Mytilus edulis: one gene and its partner. The protein of the gene in region 1 interacts with the protein of each later gene in a biochemical or structural test. Links are inferred from orthologs where the notes say so. Each region holds a gene or a part of one and is shown on either strand. Other genes may lie near its edges.

Evidence for each region.
Region 2: the proteins of heat shock factor protein-like (region 1) and co-chaperone protein daf-41-like form a complex in vitro, tested with the Homo sapiens proteins (2 studies listed by BioGRID). The link is inferred for Mytilus edulis from reciprocal best matches to the Homo sapiens genes HSF1 and PTGES3.

What each region holds. Positions count from the first base shown.
Region 1 is NC_092348.1:32,811,652-32,822,384, forward strand, and holds the start of heat shock factor protein-like, read left to right. Parts: upstream 1-3,530; 5' UTR 3,531-3,570; coding exon 3,571-3,696; intron 3,697-6,469; coding exon 6,470-6,578; intron 6,579-7,111; coding exon 7,112-7,242; intron 7,243-8,572; coding exon 8,573-8,703; intron 8,704-9,920; coding exon 9,921-10,158; intron 10,159-10,535; coding exon 10,536-10,655; intron 10,656-10,733. UniProt on the Homo sapiens protein: Functions as a stress-inducible and DNA-binding transcription factor that plays a central role in the transcriptional activation of the heat shock response (HSR), leading to the expression of a large class of molecular chaperones, heat shock proteins (HSPs), that protect cells from cellular insult damage.
Region 2 is NC_092345.1:91,424,636-91,435,368, forward strand, and holds the start of co-chaperone protein daf-41-like, read right to left. Parts: upstream 7,275-10,733; 5' UTR 7,169-7,274; coding exon 7,143-7,168; intron 5,253-7,142; coding exon 5,133-5,252; intron 3,777-5,132; coding exon 3,707-3,776; intron 3,018-3,706; coding exon 2,913-3,017; intron 2,286-2,912; coding exon 2,178-2,285; intron 1,437-2,177; coding exon 1,368-1,436; intron 1-1,367. Other genes in the region: nostrin-like, read left to right, coding at 7,541-7,567. UniProt on the Homo sapiens protein: Cytosolic prostaglandin synthase that catalyzes the oxidoreduction of prostaglandin endoperoxide H2 (PGH2) to prostaglandin E2 (PGE2).

The DNA of each region.
Region 1 (10,733 bases):
TATAGTGGAATAGACGCAAGGGCTGATACAGCTGAGCAATTGCAAAAATGGGCGGATAAGATCTGTGATTAAATAACAAAAGTAATTTTTAAATAGCCATAGAAGATGCGGTATGAGTGCCAATGAGACAACTCTCCATCCAAGTCACAATTCTGGGACTTATCATTTTTTACCTGGGAAAGGGAGGGGGGCTGGTCAAAATACAGGGGGTCAAGTTTTTTTCTGTATGTGGAAAAGTGGGGTTCAAATTTTGTTTATAAATTCAAAGTGGAGGATCAATATTTTATGCATATGGAAATGAGAGTTTACATACTTAAAGTTAAAGAGACAAAATGTCAAGAAGAACAATCAAATGGAAAAATAGTTTTACCACCATTCATGTACTGTAACAATTAAGTAAAACAACACATGACTTTGGTGATGTAGGAATCTGCAATTTTGTGTCATTTTGTTCCATATAAAATGCATTGGCGCTTCATAACACGAATAATCATGTCGTTATATTCAGCCACTCACGTCAATCACTACATTAACAAGCATTACTTCATAGTTTTGTTATAATCACCTGGACAGTTTGAGAGAAGTGAAGTGTAAATCTTAAGGAAATCTAACAGCGATTTGTGCAAAGTTGTGTCAAACAATTCAAATCACGCCGCATCATGTATAATATAGTGTAGAGTAATAAATTCTCCAATAAATGATCAAATATTCATCTAATCTGCATAAAAACTGTTAAATGTTGACACAAAGATGATTCTGAGACGATGAACATCACTTATATACCTTTATGTTTTCATTATAAGATCCTTTTGGGTCCATTTTTATACCTCTCATTCCCTCAAAATTTGTACATTTTAGGCTAATAATATTTTTTTTGGAGTTACATTCACACATTTATGAATGAAATGTGACAATTATGAGTATTTGATTGTTCAAGCTGAAAGCATAAACTATCCACTCAAGGGATCGAGATTTCAATAACGTAAAACTTAAGTTTACGCAGCGTTCTTGCGAGAGCCAGAGTTACTTAGGAACAAGCTTTCTTTAATAGCCCAATATAGGAGATAAGGAGGAAAAGGTCAGAAAAAGCTTCCAAAAGCACTGGCTTGCTCTACCTAATGATATTCATGGAAGAGTCCTAGGCTATTTCATGGCAATGTTCCTTCAAATATGTTTTTGGACTCAATCCACTAAGAATATTTCATGTTTGCAATATTTCCGTAAAATAATATGATAAGTGTTTTGCATGTTTTAAAACATTTGGGTATGTTTAATAGTGGGGATCAGATTCTTTTAAATATTTGTATGAGGGGATCAAATAAAAATCTCTCCCCCCCCCCCGCTTTAAGCCCTGGATACGCGTCTGTTTTGTTAGTGTATTTTAAGGTAGATTTATCCTTTTTCCTGGGGGGGGGGAATAAATGTCAAAAGATAGAATGTTTTAGTGATTTGCAAAAATGTAGTGTGTATCTTGCTGTTTCAAAATAAAATATAATAAAAAAAGTATGGGTCACGCATAAGGGGGGTTAGCTGTTAAATTCATGTTCATTGATTTGATTTAAATTATCTTATTTTTTTAAATTTACATACTAAAACGTTTTTTCCAAATTATACTGAAAAGTCTAAACAATTTAAGGTGCATGTACCTGATAGTCCTGATACTTTATTCATTAATTATAACCGCATTCAGTCGAGTGTATTTTATTCTATTTATTGACGTCATCTAATTAACCATCTTGGTGACCTCCGAACACTGTCCGACAGTCATATTACACGATATCAACAGTTGATGGTAAATATAAATACTAGATATCAAACACTAGCAAATTGAACTCGTAACTTATGGCCCTTAATTCACGGTAAGATTATGTAAAGATTGTACATACACTTTTGTGGGAACAGAAAGACAATTACGTTAAGAAGCAACATATAAATGCAACATGAACAAAAAAAAGATAGCACCAGAAAATACAAAGAAAAATGATGGAAACGGTGGAAGACTTCCATTTCTTATTATAGATTAAAAATCTGAGACATCAATCGCGATAAATAATATAGAATCACATATTATGTTAAACATTTCTTCTGTGTACATCATCATAGTACTTTTACAATTTCATATTAGATATCAAGTCGACGACATGGGTATCTTTCAAGTTGGATGTAGAAAATGCATAACCTCCGATTTTATTATTTTTTTTACCACGGACGGAAAACATATCAATCTATTAGTTCACTAATTTTCGTGTCTACCCTTCCATTATGTGACTCAAGAAAAAATTCCAAAAAAAGGGTAACAATTGTATCGAAAAGAGAAAATCGAGTGCACCTTTTTATGTTAGGGCGTGTTTGAGTTGAACATTTTGTCTCGATATCGTACAAAGCAAGAATATTTCATACATCGTCTCGCTTCAGTTTCTATCATTTTTACATATCAAAGCTACAGGTTGACTTTATAACATAAGAAAATCACAGTGCTAAAAAATGAAATATATGGGTCAAGTGAAATACCTCTCTAATGAATCACAAAAACAGATTCGAATAGCTATTTTTTTTACTAAAAGTACTTGACGACAGTCTTTCAAGTTGGATGATGAAAATGCATATCTTCGAAAAAAAATTATATTTTTTTTGTGTGTGATAACTAGGGTTTATAGTCTTGACTTCAACCACTAAAAAAATCTAGTCTGCCCTTCCACGAAATATTTAATTAATTTTTTTTTAAATGTTTATGAATTTTCGAAAATTCCACCTGACAACCGATCAGACAATAGTTTTAAGTTGAATCAATGCAGACAAGATCATTAACTGATGCCCATTTTCTAGTTGATACATTTGTCTTTTAAAATACAACTGGCATATCAGGATCGTAATGGTGCAACCGATGTGGATAAATTTATCGGTTTCCAAGAGCAAAATTGGCAGAGACGGTCATCCCTACAATGAGGGGGGATAGGAGGGGTCCTGATCCCGAAATCCCGGACTTAAAAAAACGAAATCCCGAGGTCCCGAATTTAAATAAAGTAAATCCCGACGTCCCGAAATCCGAAAAAAAGGATTCCCGGATCCCGAGAGGGTCAATCCCGAAATCCCGAGCTTAAAAACACCCGATCCCGGAGTCCCGATAAAGGTCCTATCCCCCCTCTACAATGGCTTCCATTTCTACGATTGTGAAAATGAACTGGCGTAATGGGGAGATAATTTTGACGAAGTTGAATCCTGACTGTATTAGAAACTGTTTGTTTGACGATCAGATTATAATATTTTTAATCAAGGCCGACCGGCCGACAATCGGTGAAATGCAGACTTCGGTAAAGTTCGGACAGTTGACAAGATCACATTAAATGAACCCTTTAATCTAAATTAAAACATTGCACCATGTAAATTCTGGATCATATAATAACAGCTCATCTTAGCAAAAATCAATTATTTTTGTTTTTGTTTTATATGAATATCTAGAAATTATGTTATAGAACTTTTTGAAAGAAAAAGTGCCGAAATATATTCCATCTTCGTATAGTGTTGATTCGATCGGCACATGCGCTAACAGAAAAAATAACTGAATTCGTGATGTCGGATATGTACATTGTGAATAACACTTCTCAAAACATGCCTAGCACTGTTCCAGCCTTTCTAACAAAGCTATGGACACTTGTAGAAAACCCTATGGTCGATGATTTGATTTGTTGGGGCGAGGTAAACTACAACAACATGACATAATCAATAAATACATAAAAAAGGGGGAGGGTACTATTAGGATCAAATTCAGTCTACTTAGTTTACCTGTTGATTTAAAAAGTTGTTGTCCGTCAACGTAATAACGAAAAAAAAACCCACTGAAATTGAGACATGTGTGATATAATGATCTTTATTTGATATATGATTAATTTTCCAACAAAACTGAAAAAGTTATATCCTACCGTAGTCTAAAATCGGTCATCTTGTCAGTTTGTTAGGTATTTGTGTTTGAACTTAACACACGGGGAAACTACACATTGACGTCACTACGCTACTTCCTGAATAGAAAAACACTGCAGAATACGTTTTTTCTGCTCTTTTGAATAAAAAAACATTTCTAAAGGTAAGTTTTCATTGTTGTTCTCAATTATGGCTAAAAAATGCCAATTTTCTATAGTCGCCGTCATGTAAAATTGGCACCATGTTTTTGTCAAAATTTTCTTAAATATCGACCGCGTTTATTAAAGATCATGTTTTTGAATTAGCGTAATCAAATATCATTCCAAAAATCAACTACTGTCCTACCTTTTATTGTGTTTGCACTGTATAATCCTGACCTTCACATAATCCAAGATTAATTTGTATGGTGGAATCCGACATAGTTATTACCGGAAGTATTCCACGTGCTCTCCATTTTCTTGTGTCTCTCGGAGCTTTTCGTCATCTTTACGTAAAAAGCGCGGGAAATTGTATCATCAATGACAATGATATTACCGGAGAGTAACGAATGTTATGGAATAAGGGACCCTCATAGAAACCAAGATGGCGGTTATACAATGTAAATAATCTTGAAAAATGTGAAGGTCAGGATTATACAGTGCAAACACAATAAAAGGTAGGACAGTAGTGGATATTTGGACAGGATTTTACTTCAGCTAAAAGAAAAACACCATCTTGAGTAAACGCGGCTGATATTTAAAAAAATTTTAACAAAAAACAGGGTGCCAATTTTACGTGACGTGGACTATAATGCCCGTTTCAATCCTGACTTTCGAATTCTAAAAACATTCTAGAACTTCACAAAATCCCACTTCCGGCCTCAATTGCTTTGTGTGTCATTCCATTCAGCGTCATCAATCTTGTGGCAGGCAATATAAGTCAAGCAAATTGTATTTTTAAGAATTTCAAAATGACATGCTCCCTACGTCTTTCGCAATTTTCCCGCGAAAAAAGCCCAACCAAAATGAAAGGAAAACTATATGAAAAAACGATGTCCATGCCATAATTTTGGTCAGGAATATAAAGTAGGTTAATAAAAAACAATTTACATTTATTTTTCATAGAATTTTTTTTTTATTCATTATAAAAGATCGATATTCTGACCATCATGACTGTAAATGGTAAATATTCATACAAAATTCCATTGATGAGGATGGCAAAAAATGAGGTTTCCTGTTGAATAAAACCCCAAATTATTGCAAACTACATGTATTTTAAAGCAATATCCCACAAACAAATAACGTAATTGCGGTAGACTGAAAAATCACCTACATTTGTAATTGACAGTAGAGCAATTTGATTGGGTAGAACGATTTTACATCACGTGATTTTGACGCCATTGGAATTTGAATGTAAACAAAGCAAGGTCAGTAGGTTCAGTATGGGGCAGCATCGTACATTGAGTTACTGAGAAACAATTATGAGTTACCAAGCTTGACAATGCATGGTAATAAAAAATCAAAGCTAAGTCTACAGAAAAAAATATAAAAAAATGTCCTTAGGATAACGACTTACCAACATTCCAGGATAAGTTATATATATCCTTATAAATTATTCTTGACATGTAGTGCATGGGTCACCACACCAGTGTAAAAAGACGATATTATAGTCCTAAGATTCCTTACTGCTCTTAAGAAGCATGAGGGAGAAGTTTGTGTCACCCTTGATTTTCAATAAAATTATAACACAGACTGACAGAGGTCCCGATTTCATGTCCCGGTGGAGACCTGCGATTTTGCAAGAAGAATCATGCTCTCTGGTTACATTGGCGACCATTGAGCTTGATTCTAATATCCACTTGTCATTAATTAATTATTACCTGTTAAACCAGGTGAATTTCAAGGAACTGCAACAAAGACACATGACCCAATTTATCCAACTCCAAGTTCAAAATTCAGGTTTATTTGATTGCTATCTTCTCTTTTAAATGAAAAGACAGGATTGTTTGCTCAACTTGTTCAAACAGAGAACCTATTTTCAATTTAATTTTATTAAAAGAAGGGATCTTGCGATTCGAAGGCATATAGCTCCTGTTTATGTGCAGCAAGATTTGCTTACTCTTCAGTTACAACTTAGGTTACTCGCTGCATTTGGTGGGGTGAGGGTTGCTCAGTCTTTGGTTTTCTATGTTTGTGTTTTTTTTATGTACAATGATGCAATCGACATCTCAATCCCTTTTGAATTTAGATTCTGAAGTAAAATGCTAGTTTGCTGTCCTGAGAATCACTTAATTAATCCCAATTAAATCTATTTAGGAAAATCTTTGCCACCTATAAAATGTACCTGGTCTCAAATCTGTGCCTTTTACATCTACAGCACCACACCGTACACCTGACACTAGCATTTGTTTTACTCTTGTGCTAAGGAGGAAAAAACACTTCCCTGGACCCTGGAATCAAATGACTTGGAATGCTGGTAATGTGTTGATGTTTTCTGTTTAATTGATTATATAATCTTGTTAGTTTTACTGTGTTTTTTTCTGTGATGCTAACATGTTGTATTTTTATTTCAGAATGGAACCAGTTTCCATGTTTATGATCAAGGCAGATTTGCAAAAGACATTCTACCACATTACTTCAAACACAGTAATATTGCCAGCTTTATAAGGCAACTAAATATGTGTAAGTAGTTAATGGCAATATTGATGTCCACATACACAAACATTGGTATTTTTAAAGATGCAAGTTCATTTGCCGGTTTAAGGGTTTCTTTCCCCTGTATCAATTTTCTTTTTCACCTATTTCGCCTAAAGCAATATTTTTTTGCCACTTCAAGCCGTCAATTCCATATTTGGTTGGTCAGACTTCCAAGCTCCTCGCGTCAATCATTTTGTGTTTTATAGTTTGGGAAATGATTAGAAGGAGATCAATATATAAACACATGAACAGATCGACTTAAACACTAATTTTTTTTGACACTTTTCCCTTCTGTTTCTCATGAAATTACTGGATCTTGAACCCTCCCTCACACTATTTATGTTTCTATTACAATGTGGAAAAATCAGTGTTATGAAAAATTCTAAATATATCCAACCTAAAGAGCAAACCCTCGATTCATTTGTTTGCCTCCTATTGCTCCCTCCACAATCAATTTAAAAACATCCCTTAGTTATATCTCATAGGATTAAGAATTAAACAATTATATTTAATTTCAGATGGTTTTAGAAAAGTTTCTCACATAGAACATGGAATCAAAGATGAAACAGATGACCTCGAGTTCCAACACATGTACTTTATTAGAGGCCAGCAACATTTGTTAGATAAGATCAAAAGAAAAATAGCAGGGGTAATATATTCAAATACATAATATATATGTAAATATCTGTACTTTCATGAAAAGGTTATTTAAAATTTGGTATATTCATGATATTTACTTGTGTATATTTACTTTTGATTAAAAATACTTAAACTATGGGTCATTCAACCATTGGTTGATACATAAAAACAGGGTCATATACATGTAGGAATAAAAAAATATCAAAAGAAAGATGTTTAGATTAAAGTCATATGAAACCTCAAATAAAAAAAAATGATGCATATGTTTTTTTTTATAACAAAATGGATAATTGTCATTATTAAAATTATGTACATATGCTTTTTTTTCTGAAGAAAATTCTTTAATTTGTCCACATTTAGAAGAAGTTTACTTTTTTTTTAAAATGCTTGCTTCCATTAAGCAATGTGCCGACATATTTTCCATATTTAAAGTGAGCCTAGCGTGACCCTTCTCGTAAAAATCCGGTGATCGCAATTCACATGGATCTGTCACTGAAATAAACTATTATCTGATTGTACATGTTATACACGTGCTCAATATCCATACTTCTTTGTTGATTGTTTACTATAAGGTGACACAATTGGTAAACTATGGCTTCAAAACACGACAATTTATGAGCTGCCATATTTTCACTTCTTAACAGATAAAGCGAAAAAAAAATGACGATTTTACGATATTTTTGCGTAAAAAGACTTAGTTTATGATATAAACATGCATTGGTTCAAGAATTGGATAAACATTATTTTTCACCAGTCACTCATTTCATATGACTTTAAAGGTCTTCAGTGATTTATTTTTTATGCCCCACCTACGATAGTAGAGGGGCCTTATGATTTCTGGTCTGTGCGTCCGTTCGTCCGTCGTACTGTCCGTCCGTTCGTCTGTTCGTTCGTCCATCTGTCCCGCTTCAGGTTAAAGTTTTTGGTCAAGGTAGTTTTTGATGAAGTTGAAGTCCAATCAACTTGAAACTTAGTACACATGTTCCTTATGATATGATCTTTCTAATTTTACAGCCAAATTAAACTTTTGACCCCAATTTCACGGTTCACTGAACATAGAAAATGAAAGTGCATGTTTCAGGTTAAAGTTTTTGGTCAAGGTAGCTTTTGATGAAGTTGAAGTCCAATCAACTTGAAACTTAGTACACATGTTCCCTATGATATTATCTTTCTAATTTTAATGCCTTATTATATTTATTATCCAATTTCACGGTCCATTGAACATGGAAAATGATAGTGCGAGTGGGGCATCCGTGTACTTTGGACACATTCTTGTTTATTTTGTGTTTTGTATAGACATTTTTTAATTTAAAATATTCGAAACTATATTTACTTTTCAGACAACTGCACAAGTGAAAACTGAGCCAATGCAGGAAGTTCCACAACAAGATCTGACCAATGTAATTACAGAAGTCCAAGTCATGAGAGAAAAACAAGAAACTGTCAATACAAAACTTTCCTCAATGAAGAGGTACTTAGAATATATTCAATATTCTGCAAAAATACGTAAAGAAAATGTGCTTTTATTATAATCATGTTAATATGAGATTACAAAAAGGTGTTTTGATACTGCATCAGATTAGTTTTAAACATATTTATTTATGTGGATTGGGAAACAAGTTATTGCAACTTATAATAATTCCTTTCCACTTTGCAACTGCGAGTGCTGCCTTGTAGCGGCATAATCCTGCTTTTTTTAAAAATCTACAAGTGTGTCTTTTACATGCAAGAGATATGGCTTTCTCTTAACACTGGTCAGCCATTTATCCTCCCTTCCGACGGACTATCATGGTAGCTCAAGACCACACTCGCAAATGGTGTCAAGGGAGAGCCGAAATTTCAGTCCCTGAAATTTTCTCCCCAAGAAGGGGATCGAACCAGGAACCTTTGTGTTAGTAGTCCGATGCACTAACCATTACATCATAGCTCTCCATAAGAGCTTTATCTGGATTTTTAGAAAGAATAGTCCTGGATTGTGCTTGCTATTTGTTGAGTGCCTAATTTAGATATGATAAAATCTGATAATTGTATCAAAGCAATTTAGAAAATGACAGCGAGGTATCCAAACCATTTTGAATTCATGTTAATACATTTCAAACAGTAACTAGAGGTTGATTGATTGGCGGCTTAAAGTCTGTGCATTATGCTGCATGTATTTTATACTAGAACAAATAAACAATGACTACAATTGGTTTGTCTTGTTAGAGAGACTGCATTGGATGAAGGTCTGGGCATTTTGGCCTGTCACTGAACTGGAAAATGAGGGTATCAACTAACTCCTCAAAGAGTTGTTGCAAGGGTTTTTAATGTGCAGAGTACTAGTGCATGACACTGTTTTAACAGAAGGCATTGGACTGGGTACTAGTGCATCATGCACAGTAAAACAAACACCCTAATGTGACCAGGGTTTTAGTGCATGTCAGAAAAAGACCTAAGTGACCATATTTATATTCTCCAATCACCCTTAGGGGTGAGAATATCTAGAGGGTCTTGTGCAGAACCATTATTCCAAGATATTCAAATAACATATTGTGTCACAAAGTGGTTTTAAAGGCTTTCAATGTTTGTTAATATTGTACTTGTGTCTAGATCTTTTCATTTGTCAAATTTTCAAATATTTTATATATTCTTATTTCTTAATTAAATATGATCTAAACTTAACATGTCAATATATATTTCATTTTACAGAGAGAATGAATTATTGTGGAGAGAAGTAGCCTCTCTAAGACAGAAACATGTCAAACAGCAACAAATTGTCAATAAACTAATCCAGTTCCTGATCCATTTAGTTGGAGGTCGATCTGGAATAGGCCTCAATTTGAATAGGAAAAGACCTCTTATGTTGTCAGACTCGAATCAAGCCTCTCCACCTTCTAAGATGAAGAAATATGCAAAGAATGATCTACCTGTGTATTCTGTTCAGAGTGTAAGTAAACAAGAGTTAAAACAAATTATTACTATTCTCTATAATGAAATGTGGGTATGATGTCAATTGTATGCATTTATTGAGACTTTTAAAGAATAACAGTTTATTAAGAAAAATAGTGCATATGCATGGTATGTAAACCATTATATTGAAAATAAAAGCAAAACAAGTTTAAGTAGTCTAGAACAAAAAAGAATATATAGGATACAGGACAAATAAGTGTTGTAGACTAGTAGAGTTACCTGATAAGTATCATCTATAAAGTGTCCACTAATAAAAACTGTTATTTGAATTATCTTCAGGTCATCTTGTATGAATAAATTGTATTGTGTTATTTCATAAAGCAGTGTGTAAATGTAGTTCTGTTTTGGTTTCAGCCTGAAAGTGCCCAGAATGCTGATGGAGGACCTGTTATATCAGAACTACCAGATCAGGATGTCTTCTTGAATAGGAATCCTGTAAACCAAACAGCAACTTCCAATTCCAATTTGTCAGATGTAAGAATTAATTTCCTATTGATGTGGATTTTTTTATTCTCGTATGTAAAGGAAAAATAGTGATATCTTTGATATTTG
Region 2 (10,733 bases), on another chromosome or scaffold:
AACCAATATAGTTAAAAATCTCTTTTAAGAACTAAGTTCCATTGTGATTATTAAAAAATAAAAGTTTCTTCTCAGACCAACGGCCTTTTTATGCAAATATTTTCCGGTATTTTCCTCCAAGTTTCACTGTGCCGACTTTTACTTCCATGTACAAATATATTTATACGACAAGTTCATTGTTAAAGCTTTCATCAATATATAATCTTGACAAACTTAAAGTTCGGGTCTATCGATGTCAGTCAATATTGATTCACATTTGAAAGGCGAAATGATAAACATCGCGAATCCTGTTTCATGTCATCCATTTTGAACAAGGTCTGGGAATCCCCGTAATTCTCGCTTTAAAAGTCTCCTGTTTGCAGTTTTGATAGAATGTTTCTATTTCTGTCTATTATATCTTCGGTTCTCGTCCAAATCCTTTTAATCGGCCGCCGTTGTTAAATAGTTATCATTGAAATACTTCTGAACGTGTTGGCCATTTCTCCAAATAATGTCCGCCATTTTGTCACTTTTTTCATCAAAAATTTTCACTTTCCGTTTTATCGCTTATACCTGATTAAAAGTCAAGAGACACTCGAAAGTACGCAGATTTTTAACCAATCAGAATCCATACAAGTCGAAACTGCCGCAATCTCATGAATATTGACTCCGCCCATTCCATGGTAACTGTGTAAACAAAGGAGTTACGGAAAACGACTATAGTCGCGAGTAGCAGTAGCGGACTGTCTTATCGGAACGACAATAGTCGCGCGTAGCAGTCTAAGGGTTAACAAAACCAAGGTTTCTAATGGTGGTAGTTATTTTAACATTCCTTTACCAAAGACATTAATTTCTTACACAAACAGTAACTTGCACAAACAAAGCTTTAATTTTCATGGAAAATGGTGCGAAACATGAGAATTTTCTTATTTTTCATTTTGTCTATTCCAAAGTGACAGTCTTAATCTTCAAAACTAAAATGAAATGAATATAAAGAGTTACCTCCCATACACTACGAATAAATGCAAAAATAAGATGTGGTACATAATTAATTGGGAGTAAATTTAAGTAATCTACCTTTAAGAGCAGTTTGTGCGATGGTTTTAATTATGGGTAAGCTATTTTCCATAAGATAACAGTAAATCAGCGGGGGAAAAAAACAAATAAATCAAATGTGATAAAAAAAAACTTACCAATAAAATACAGAAAAATGAAAAAAACAAAAATTCAAATTTTGTAATGGATACTGTTGGTTGATCAATAAAAGAATTCCATCCACGTTTTAAAAAATAATTGAAGGTGACAAAGTTATTGATGTCTAAAACATGTTGATGACGCCCGACGCTGAATGGAAATTGTATAAATTTCTTATTAATACCAATACTAACCATATCACCGCCTGCATCCATACCTCCCATGCCGCCCATGCCACCCATGCCACCCATGTTCTGCATCATCTGGAAAATATCACAAGTCAATGAAAAATATCACATGTTTATAATGAAAAATATCACATGGTACTGTAAAATATCACATGTTAATGTAAAATATCACATGGTACTGTAGAATAACACTCCTATATAAAGTGTCAACTGGTGATCTGTCATATTACCAAACCTGTAGATTCTGTTTTGTTTATTATTTTTGCTGTTTAAAGATTAACCTACAATATTTTTGGCCAAAATGCTAAAATTTATAACTTCATCGTTTTTATGCAATTACTTAGTTTCTTGTTTGAATTGTTTTACATTTGTAATTTAAGGGGCTTTTATACATTTTGTAGAACTGAATGCCATACAGAGACCTATAGTTGTTAGCTTCTGTGTCATTTGAACTCTTATAAGAGTTGTCTCATTGGCTATAATACCACATCTTCTTTTTATAATTACTCAAATATTGAAACAACCAACAATTTGGCCATGTTTGTCAAATTTGCAGATCTTTAAGGCCAGAAAGTAATCCTCAATAAGAATGATCCATCTCATCTGGATTCATTTATTTGTGTCGATACCAAAGTTCGTAGAATGAAAAAAACTTACATTTTCAAGGATAAATGATTTGATAAGATTTGCCAAAGCCTGTATTAAAGCCTTTATTGAACTTTCAAATTTGTGGTTCATCCATATCCATGAAATCATTGAAAATTGGTATCCCATGAATCCTATAAATGACTTTACAGTATCCTCTGATTAACTTACAGACTCCAAATCCATATCACCAGCCCCTCCATCTCCTCCTCCTGCTCCTTCATAATCGGAGTCATCTTCATCTTTCCATTTGTTAAAATCTGTTTTTAACCAATGTACCTACAATCAAAGATAACCACATCTATAACATATTATTCTTTACAATATGTTTTACAAAACTTGTTTCTAGGAATAATTCCATCAAAGAATCATATGCAAACAAAAGAACATATATCTAAAAAAGGTAAACATTTTTTACATATTTTTTTTCAACAGCTTTCTGACAGGACATGAAAAGAAAACCAGTTCCAGGGGTGGACCTGAGAGACAGTGTATAATTTAAAAGTATCTGCAAACAGGAAGTAGCTACAGGGTAGATCTAAATATTGCTTACACACTACATCTCACCATTACAAGCTAAGGACCAACCATAAAATCATTTCTTTTTGAAGAGGCCAAGAAAACTTGAAAGTTTTCTAATCAATGTTTTTTGGATATATGGACAGAATGATAGATGGAGTAGAGCAGTTCTAGTTTCACCATATGCAACACTGGAAAAAAAGATTATTTTTTTTTCTATTGGTATTTCACAATTTCAGGTATTATTGTTATCTCACCTCCTTTTGTAACTGAACACATTTGTCATATGACAAAGCCTATCCCTTTGTAAAATAATAATAAATTCTAAGTCCATTCATTAGAATTTTAACCAGACAGAATCTGTACAACATAGATTCAAACACTTACTTTAGTTTTTTCTTTTAATAATCTCGGCCAAAAATGTTCTTCAGTGGTGTCTTTCTTTTTTAAAATCAATGATATATGTCTAGGTAAAACTGCATACTTTGATTCCTGCAAGACAAAAAAAAACATTTGTGAAATATGTAAAATTTCCTCATATATTTAACACACTACCTCCAAAATACCAATGGGATTACATACAATCTTTACCAAAATTTAGTCTCAGAAAAATGTAAAAAAAATATCACCTAGAGGACTTACTTTGACATGGTGTTTACAGCTCTTTTATAGAAGCATGCAAAGAAAACCATTGATCAACTTGCTTGCTATGTTTGTTTGGATGTTTGTAAACAACAGGTAGGTAGTTTGTTTACTATATACTGGCATTTGATTGGGCAATAAACATTCACTTCAATTCATATCCAATCAAATCCCAGTATATATTGAAACTCCGCCTACCTATTGTTTGCAAACAACCAAGCAAACATAGCAAGCAAGTTGATCAAAATTTTGTTTTGCATGCTTTTATAGAAAAGCTGTAAATAATGGAAATTATTTGAAATCTTCATTATCATTCTGACATGGATTAATGATCTGATATCAACAAAAGCCTATTCAAAATTCAATTCCTGTTAAGGTGGTACATGTATTGTATAAATGTACATGTACACATATATAGGCATACTTTTTTCTACAGAGCAAAATATTTGTTAATTCTAAAGAGTACCTGTGTCAATCCTGTTAGTTTTGCTAGAACATCAGATTTAAATTTAAGATGCTATATACTGATATTTTCTTACTTTGCTATCTATTTCTTTGAAAAAGTCTATTTTTGCTTCATGTAGTTTATTTTCTGTTCCTCCTTTGCCCCTGAAATAGATATATATGCTATTGTTTATTGACATGTATTATGTAGTGACATATCAAAACTAGAGGCTCTAAAGAGCCTGTGTCACTCACCTTGGTCTATGTGAATATTAAACAAAGGAAGCAGATGGATTGATGATAAAATTGTGTTTTGGTGATGGTGATGTGTTTGGACATCTTACTTTACTGAACATTCTTGCTGCTTACAATTATCTCTATCTATAATGAACTTAGCCTAGTAGTTTCAGTGGAAAATGTTAGTAAAAATTTACAAATTTTAAGAAAATTGTTAAAAATTGACTTCAAAGGACAATAACTCCTTAGGAGGTCAATTGACCATTTCAGTCAAGTTGACTTATTTGTAAATCTTACTTTGCTGAACATTATTGCTGTTTACATTTTATCTTTATCTATAATAATATTCAAGATAATAACCAAAAACAGCAAAATTTCCTTAAAATTACCAATTCAGGGGAAGCAACCCAACAAAGGGTTGTCCGATTCACCTGAAAATTTCAGTGCAAATACATCTTGACCTGATAAACAATTTTACTCCATGTCAGATTTGCTCTAAATGCTTTGGTTTTTGAGTTGTAAGCCAAAAACTGCATTTTACCCCTATGTTCTATTTTTAGCCATGGCGGCCATCTTGGTTGGTTGGCCTTGTCACCGGACACATTTTTTAAACTAGATACCCCAATGATGATTGTGGCCAAGTTTGGTTAAATTTGGCCCAGTAGTTTCAGAGGAGAAGATTTTTGTAAAAGTTAACGACGCTGGACGCAAAGTGATGGGAAAGGCTCACTTGACCCTTCGGGTCAGGTGAGCTAAAAAATTATAAGGTTAAGGTGGCTTGCATATTGTTTTACTATAATACATTTATTCTTTATTGATTTCATAGACTATTGAAGTGGTCAAGGTACATTTGTTAGTCTATCCTTTCACACATAAAATGTTTTCAATTTCTCATTTACAGACTTAAACCAAGAGCTTACATGTAACCCTGATAAATAACAAATGTAAAATCACAGTGCAACCCAAAAGGTGAATCAGTCTAAAATTGGGGATGGAAATTTCAAAGGATTCCAGTGGCCCATTTATGGCCTACTAATGTTTACCATACTTTTGCAGTTGCTTGATCCTATAACAAATACAATTACATTGACTGGGCTACAACTTAAAAAACTTATATTCCATCCCTGAAATTGTGTGTTGCATGTACAAATGGTATAATATAAATATTGAAATCCCATCACCAGGAATTTGTTCATATCAACTGACTTATTTGGTCCTTAATAAGTCACAATGTAAGTTCCCAAAAACTGATTTCAGGAGTAATTATATTGTGGAAATACTTACTTAAAGTGTAAACCTGTGTCTGTTATTTCTATGTTTGGTTCTTTACAGTCTTCTAATACAATGGTCAGTAACACTCTATCTTTTCGTTGGGCCCATTCCATAGGTGTATGCAATACTTGTCTGAAAAATAAATCATTCAAATTATACTAGTACATACAAATGAAGGTTGACATGGTCATTTAATATGATCTCATGTCATTTAAGTTTTTCACCTTATCAATTTGTGCATGAATTAGAACAGACCTATCTAACAATATAAATATAACAACCATCACCTTAGTCTTAGAAGCCAAGGATATACCTTGTTAATCAATATTTTACAGTCTATCTTTGAGAAATTTTAGGACACAAATCAATTTTTCTAATGTATATCAAGTGTTTTGACAATATGTAACTACATCCAATTCAAGTGCTTCTTTAATTATTCAAAGGGACTTTTCACTGCTCCAAGGTATATAATAAAAAAAAATTGAGGCTTCTTAAATAATTAGTTTCTTAAACTCAAACAGCTGAGAAGCCAAAATATCCCTTGTAAATCAATATTTTACAGTCTATCTTTGAGAAATTTTAGGACACAAATCAATTTTTCTAGTATGTATATCAAGTGTTTTGACAATATGTAACTACATCCAAGTGCTTCTTTAATTATTCAAAGGGACCTTTCACTGCTCCAAGGTATATAATAAAAAAAAATTGAGGCTTCTTAAATAATTAGTTTCTTAAACTCAAACAGCTGAGGAGGATGAAGGCAGGTGGGTGATGGCCCACATACTGAGTTTTGTGAATACACAAACTGCATAGGCTAATCTTTTTACAAGTATTACACTCCAAACAAAGGGGCTTGTTACAATTGCCGGGTTTACTATCCATACGAACCCCTAAAAAAACACAAGGGAGGAAGCTAATTTGCGACAATGCTTCAAATTATTGTTGTAAATTTTTTCTAAGACTTTCACTTACTTTGTGACCTGAATAAATATGTTCCCACTTGAATTATCTCTCCAATGACATATATTTGTTAACTTAAATAACCTCTATAACTATTGTAATCAATAAAACAAACTCGACATTTTTGAAATAGAACGAATCGAGGCCCTACATTTGAAAATGAAAGAACTAAAGCGACACCTACCGGAAAATTTATTTTCGGCTCTCTCTGGAGTTTACCGAAATATGAGGACGAAAGACAGTATGTTCCTAATAATTCCCGCCAATTTTTACATTATTGTAATAAAAAATACCGTAGACTTCCGAAAAGCGTAACATTTATGTAAACACCCGATAGTGCCGAAAATATATTTTCCGATAGGTGTCGCTTTAGCACTTTCATTTTCAAATGTAGGGCCTCGATTCTTTCTATTTCAAAAATGTCGAGTTTGTTTTATGGATTACAATAGTTATAGAGGTTATTTAAGGTAACAAATATATGTCATTGGAGAGATAATTCAAGTGGGAACATATTTATTCAGGTCACAAAGTAAGTGAAAGTCTTAGAAAAAATTTACAACAATAATTTGAAGCATTGTCGCAAATTAGCTTCCTCCCTTGTGTTTTTTAGGGGTTCGTATGGATAGTAAACCCGGCAATTGTAACAAGCCCCTGTGCTCCAAACGTTGGCTTGCCAGGGTCCCCCCCTTTTTTTAAATCCTGGATCTGCACTGAAAAGTGATTGATTAAGGAGAGAACTGTATATGTTGTAACAGTAAGTATATATTTTAAATTCTTTCACTAATTCTATAAAAATCCATTCTTAAATTGAAAGTACTATTGTGAACATGATGATGTCTGCAGGGCCATATATGTTTCTCAAACTTTCTGGAATCTTCTATAAGTTGTCTTCAGTATCCCGTGCATTTTAAAATTACGTGGGATTTACACCGCTACTACTTGTTCAAATGAATTATGCAAAAATATATGGTAAATATATAATGATATAACTTCTTCCATTCAAACTATCATTGATAAACGTTCTTGTTTTAATATTTTCTTTCGTTTCCACATGTAACTTACTCTTGATCGGCCATTTTCAACGCCATGTGAATTAGACTGGTACTCCAAACAATTTCAGATGAAGAGAAGACTAATAGAAACGAGAACAGGACAGAAAACCAGTGTCATAAAGTGCTTGGACTGGTTACTCAACCAAAGAGTAAAGGAGAAAAAAAAGAACCAGATTGGTTTTTTAAGCGAAACCACGTTTTATTGTAAAATTACACTATCAGTATCACAAAAGCTCGATGACAACAACAAAAATATGTCAGTTTTTATGAAATAGAAAATATAAGAGATTGCTTTGAGGATTTTTTTAAATAAAATATATTGACTGCAGAATTTGTTGACCTTGACACTTTGAATAACTGGATAGGTATTTCACGTTAAAAAAAATCATAAAATGGAATGAAAGTGACATGGCTCTTTTTACGGAAAATTTTAGAGTAAGTGACATCTTTAAAGACAGTATACGTGAAGGGTAAACATCAAACTTAATGATTAAGGATATAGTCTTAAATATATCAAGTATCATCATGATCATGCACAACTCATCAACTGAATTTATATATAATTAAAAAAGTTAAAAAGAAATCTGCAGTCTACATAAATTATTGATTATGATAATGATTATTATAAACGACAACCCTATTTGTACACAGAAGGAGGTTTGGGAGAATACTAGTATGTGTCATTCGTCTATTTTTCACTGACTTCAGCTGTTTTCAAGCTTCATGGTGATCTGTTTAGAAAATACCTATACTCTAACTTTTATTGTAACTACTTTTAGAGTTTCTGTACAACCTCTGTCCTTTTTAAAGGGGATAGTTAAAAGCTCATACACATGTTAACCAACCAAATTCTTGTGGCGCCTGACCTAAGACAGTAGACTGTAAGAAAGTGGTAGTCATTTGTTGCTGTTTGCCTTGTTTATGAATTTTCAACAGTTGTATACTACTGTTGCCTTTATTGTTCATATTGTTTGTTTTTCTAAAATTTTTGATTTTATACATTTTTTTTTGTACCATCCAAGTGTTTGTTAGTCCAAATAAATTTAACGTCTTAAAAGGCTATTATTTTTTTTTTCTTTGACGCCTTACATTGTTGCAGGAAGGCGTCAAAGCAAAAATTTAAAATATCCTTCCAAGACGTCATAATTATTTGGACTAGCAAGCTGTTGGCTTCTTGTGTATTCTGAGAAATACTTTTAAAAGTGTACATCAAAATGTTGTTATTGGTGAAAAAGGTACTAAACATTCATTTCACCAATGATGTAAAGTTGCTTTCATGTACATCTGCCTTTCTATGACTCTCGGGGGGTCCACTTCCTATATATATGTATATGAAAAAGTATACATTTTTGAAATTTAAATTATATGAAAAGGGTGGGTTATTTACAGAAACGCAGCAGCACCCCTATCAATTAAGTTTTGAAGTTTCCCGATCTATGACTTAAGGAGGCAGATGTAAGCAAATTTAGATCATGGTAAAGATTCAAAATTTGTAACAGCAATTGCCTTTCAAGTCTTTTTAATGACAATTTTATTAATTGTATAGAGTTATTGCCCTTTGTCCTTTAGCCATGATTTTGCTAATTTATTAGCTTTGCAAAACATAAAAAATGAAGATAAACTGTAAACAACCACATGAACAAAAACTATTAAGGTATAAAAATCTACAATTTCGTCCATATATACATGTATATCCAATTGTATGTCAGAAAAGTTATACTTATAATGCATGTAATGGTAGAACACTCATATTACAGTTCTTGTGTTGATATGGGTTACAATTAGATACTGATAGGTATATAGAAAAGAAGGTGTGGTATGACTTTTATGAATATGAGACAACTCTGCAAAGAAATTTTACAGCTTTAGGTCATAGTACTACCTTCAACAATGAGCAAAGCCTATACCACATCGTCAGCTATAAAATTCCAGAAATTACAAATATGAAACAAATCAAAGGAGAAAACTAACGGACTAATTAATGTACAAAAAATTAGAAACAAGAAAAAAACAGCAACCACTAAATTACAGACTCCTGACTTGGGACAGCATGACCAAGCACATACCTACAGAATGTGGCAGGGTAAACATGAAAGCGAAATCCAACCATCCCCTAATCTCAGACAGTAGTGTAACAGTACAACACAAGACAAACTATAAAAATCAGCTGAGAAAGGCTCAACTCATCAGATGGAAAAAAATAGAATTACATACATGTATAACAAAAACAGAGTGGAAGTGGCTGGGTTTGCTTGTTTTGAATTATACATATATCACTGTGACACATATATATATATACATTATATATATGTCATTTTTTTTGGTATGAAATTTAATTTAGATTCACAAATTTAGATAATCAGAAAGGCCCTGTGTGATGTGGCTACAGCAAGTAACATGCTTATTTTGTATTTTCACACAGTTAGATAATCTCAGGGAAACAGTTCTATATAAAAGCATTAAACAACTGCAAAGTTTTGACATCTTTATTTTCTCCTGCTTTCAAAATGGTTAGCAGCTGTTAAACTCTTTCAATTGTTAAATTTATAGCACCATGTTTAGTATCATTGCACATGAACTTTTTAAATTTCTTAGATATTCATGATATTATTGTGTTCCTCATTTTGAGGTGCATTAGGGATATTGACCCAAATAAAGTTAAACAGTTTAAATTGCCAGTATAAACTCGTAGTAACACATGTTTATTTACTATGGGAAATGTTGACCAACACCAAACTTGAATTATTTTCTACATTTGATGAAAATTTGGCCAAGCAATGGCTATGGGTACTGAGATTTCAATGATCAAAAATATGAGGTGTTATTTTATATTTAAAATTTTGGCCTGGAAATTTCCTTTGAAAAATAAATTTTTTACAAATGTTTGAATTTTGAAGAAAAAAATACAGTAGATAGGAACTGTAAGAGATAAAATTATCATCTTTTCTTTTTAATATTCCCATTTTGAAATGTTTTGGGCTAAAACTGGTAGCTTAATAGATAGAGAGGAAAAGTAAACAGAGTAGAGATTAAAGTTATGAATTATCATGATTATATATAAATTCTACAATGTTGCCATGTTGGAGAGTTGCCATTCTTGAAGATGCACACTAACCCAAGTGATCCTGAACTAAATGTCAGTGTCAATCTAATACTGATTAACTGCAGTTTATATACAATGTACATGTAGCTATATTTACTTTCTTTCACAAATGTAGGAGGCACCTTACTCTGATTTTACTGCATTAGTCTATGTAGTGAATGATCATGGTATTATTTTTGTGATTGCTCAATGTAATTAAAATGTACAATTCAACTGTAAGGCCACACCAATTTGATTCCTTGTTCGACGGACCCGTCCGCACCTTTTTCAAAACAGAATTTTTTTAATTTTTTTATATTCCCGCTTTCTGCATCCGGAAATGTAATCATGTCTATTTCCCGCACCGTTTTTTTTTGTAGATATTATAAAAAGATATCAACATTTGTTTCTTTCCCCCTTACTTATATTCCCTATCAAAAAATGTTCGTTGTTAGAATAAAGTACAAAGAACTTCTGAAGGATTTGCCTTCAACTGCAATTATATTTTATGCTGGCAAA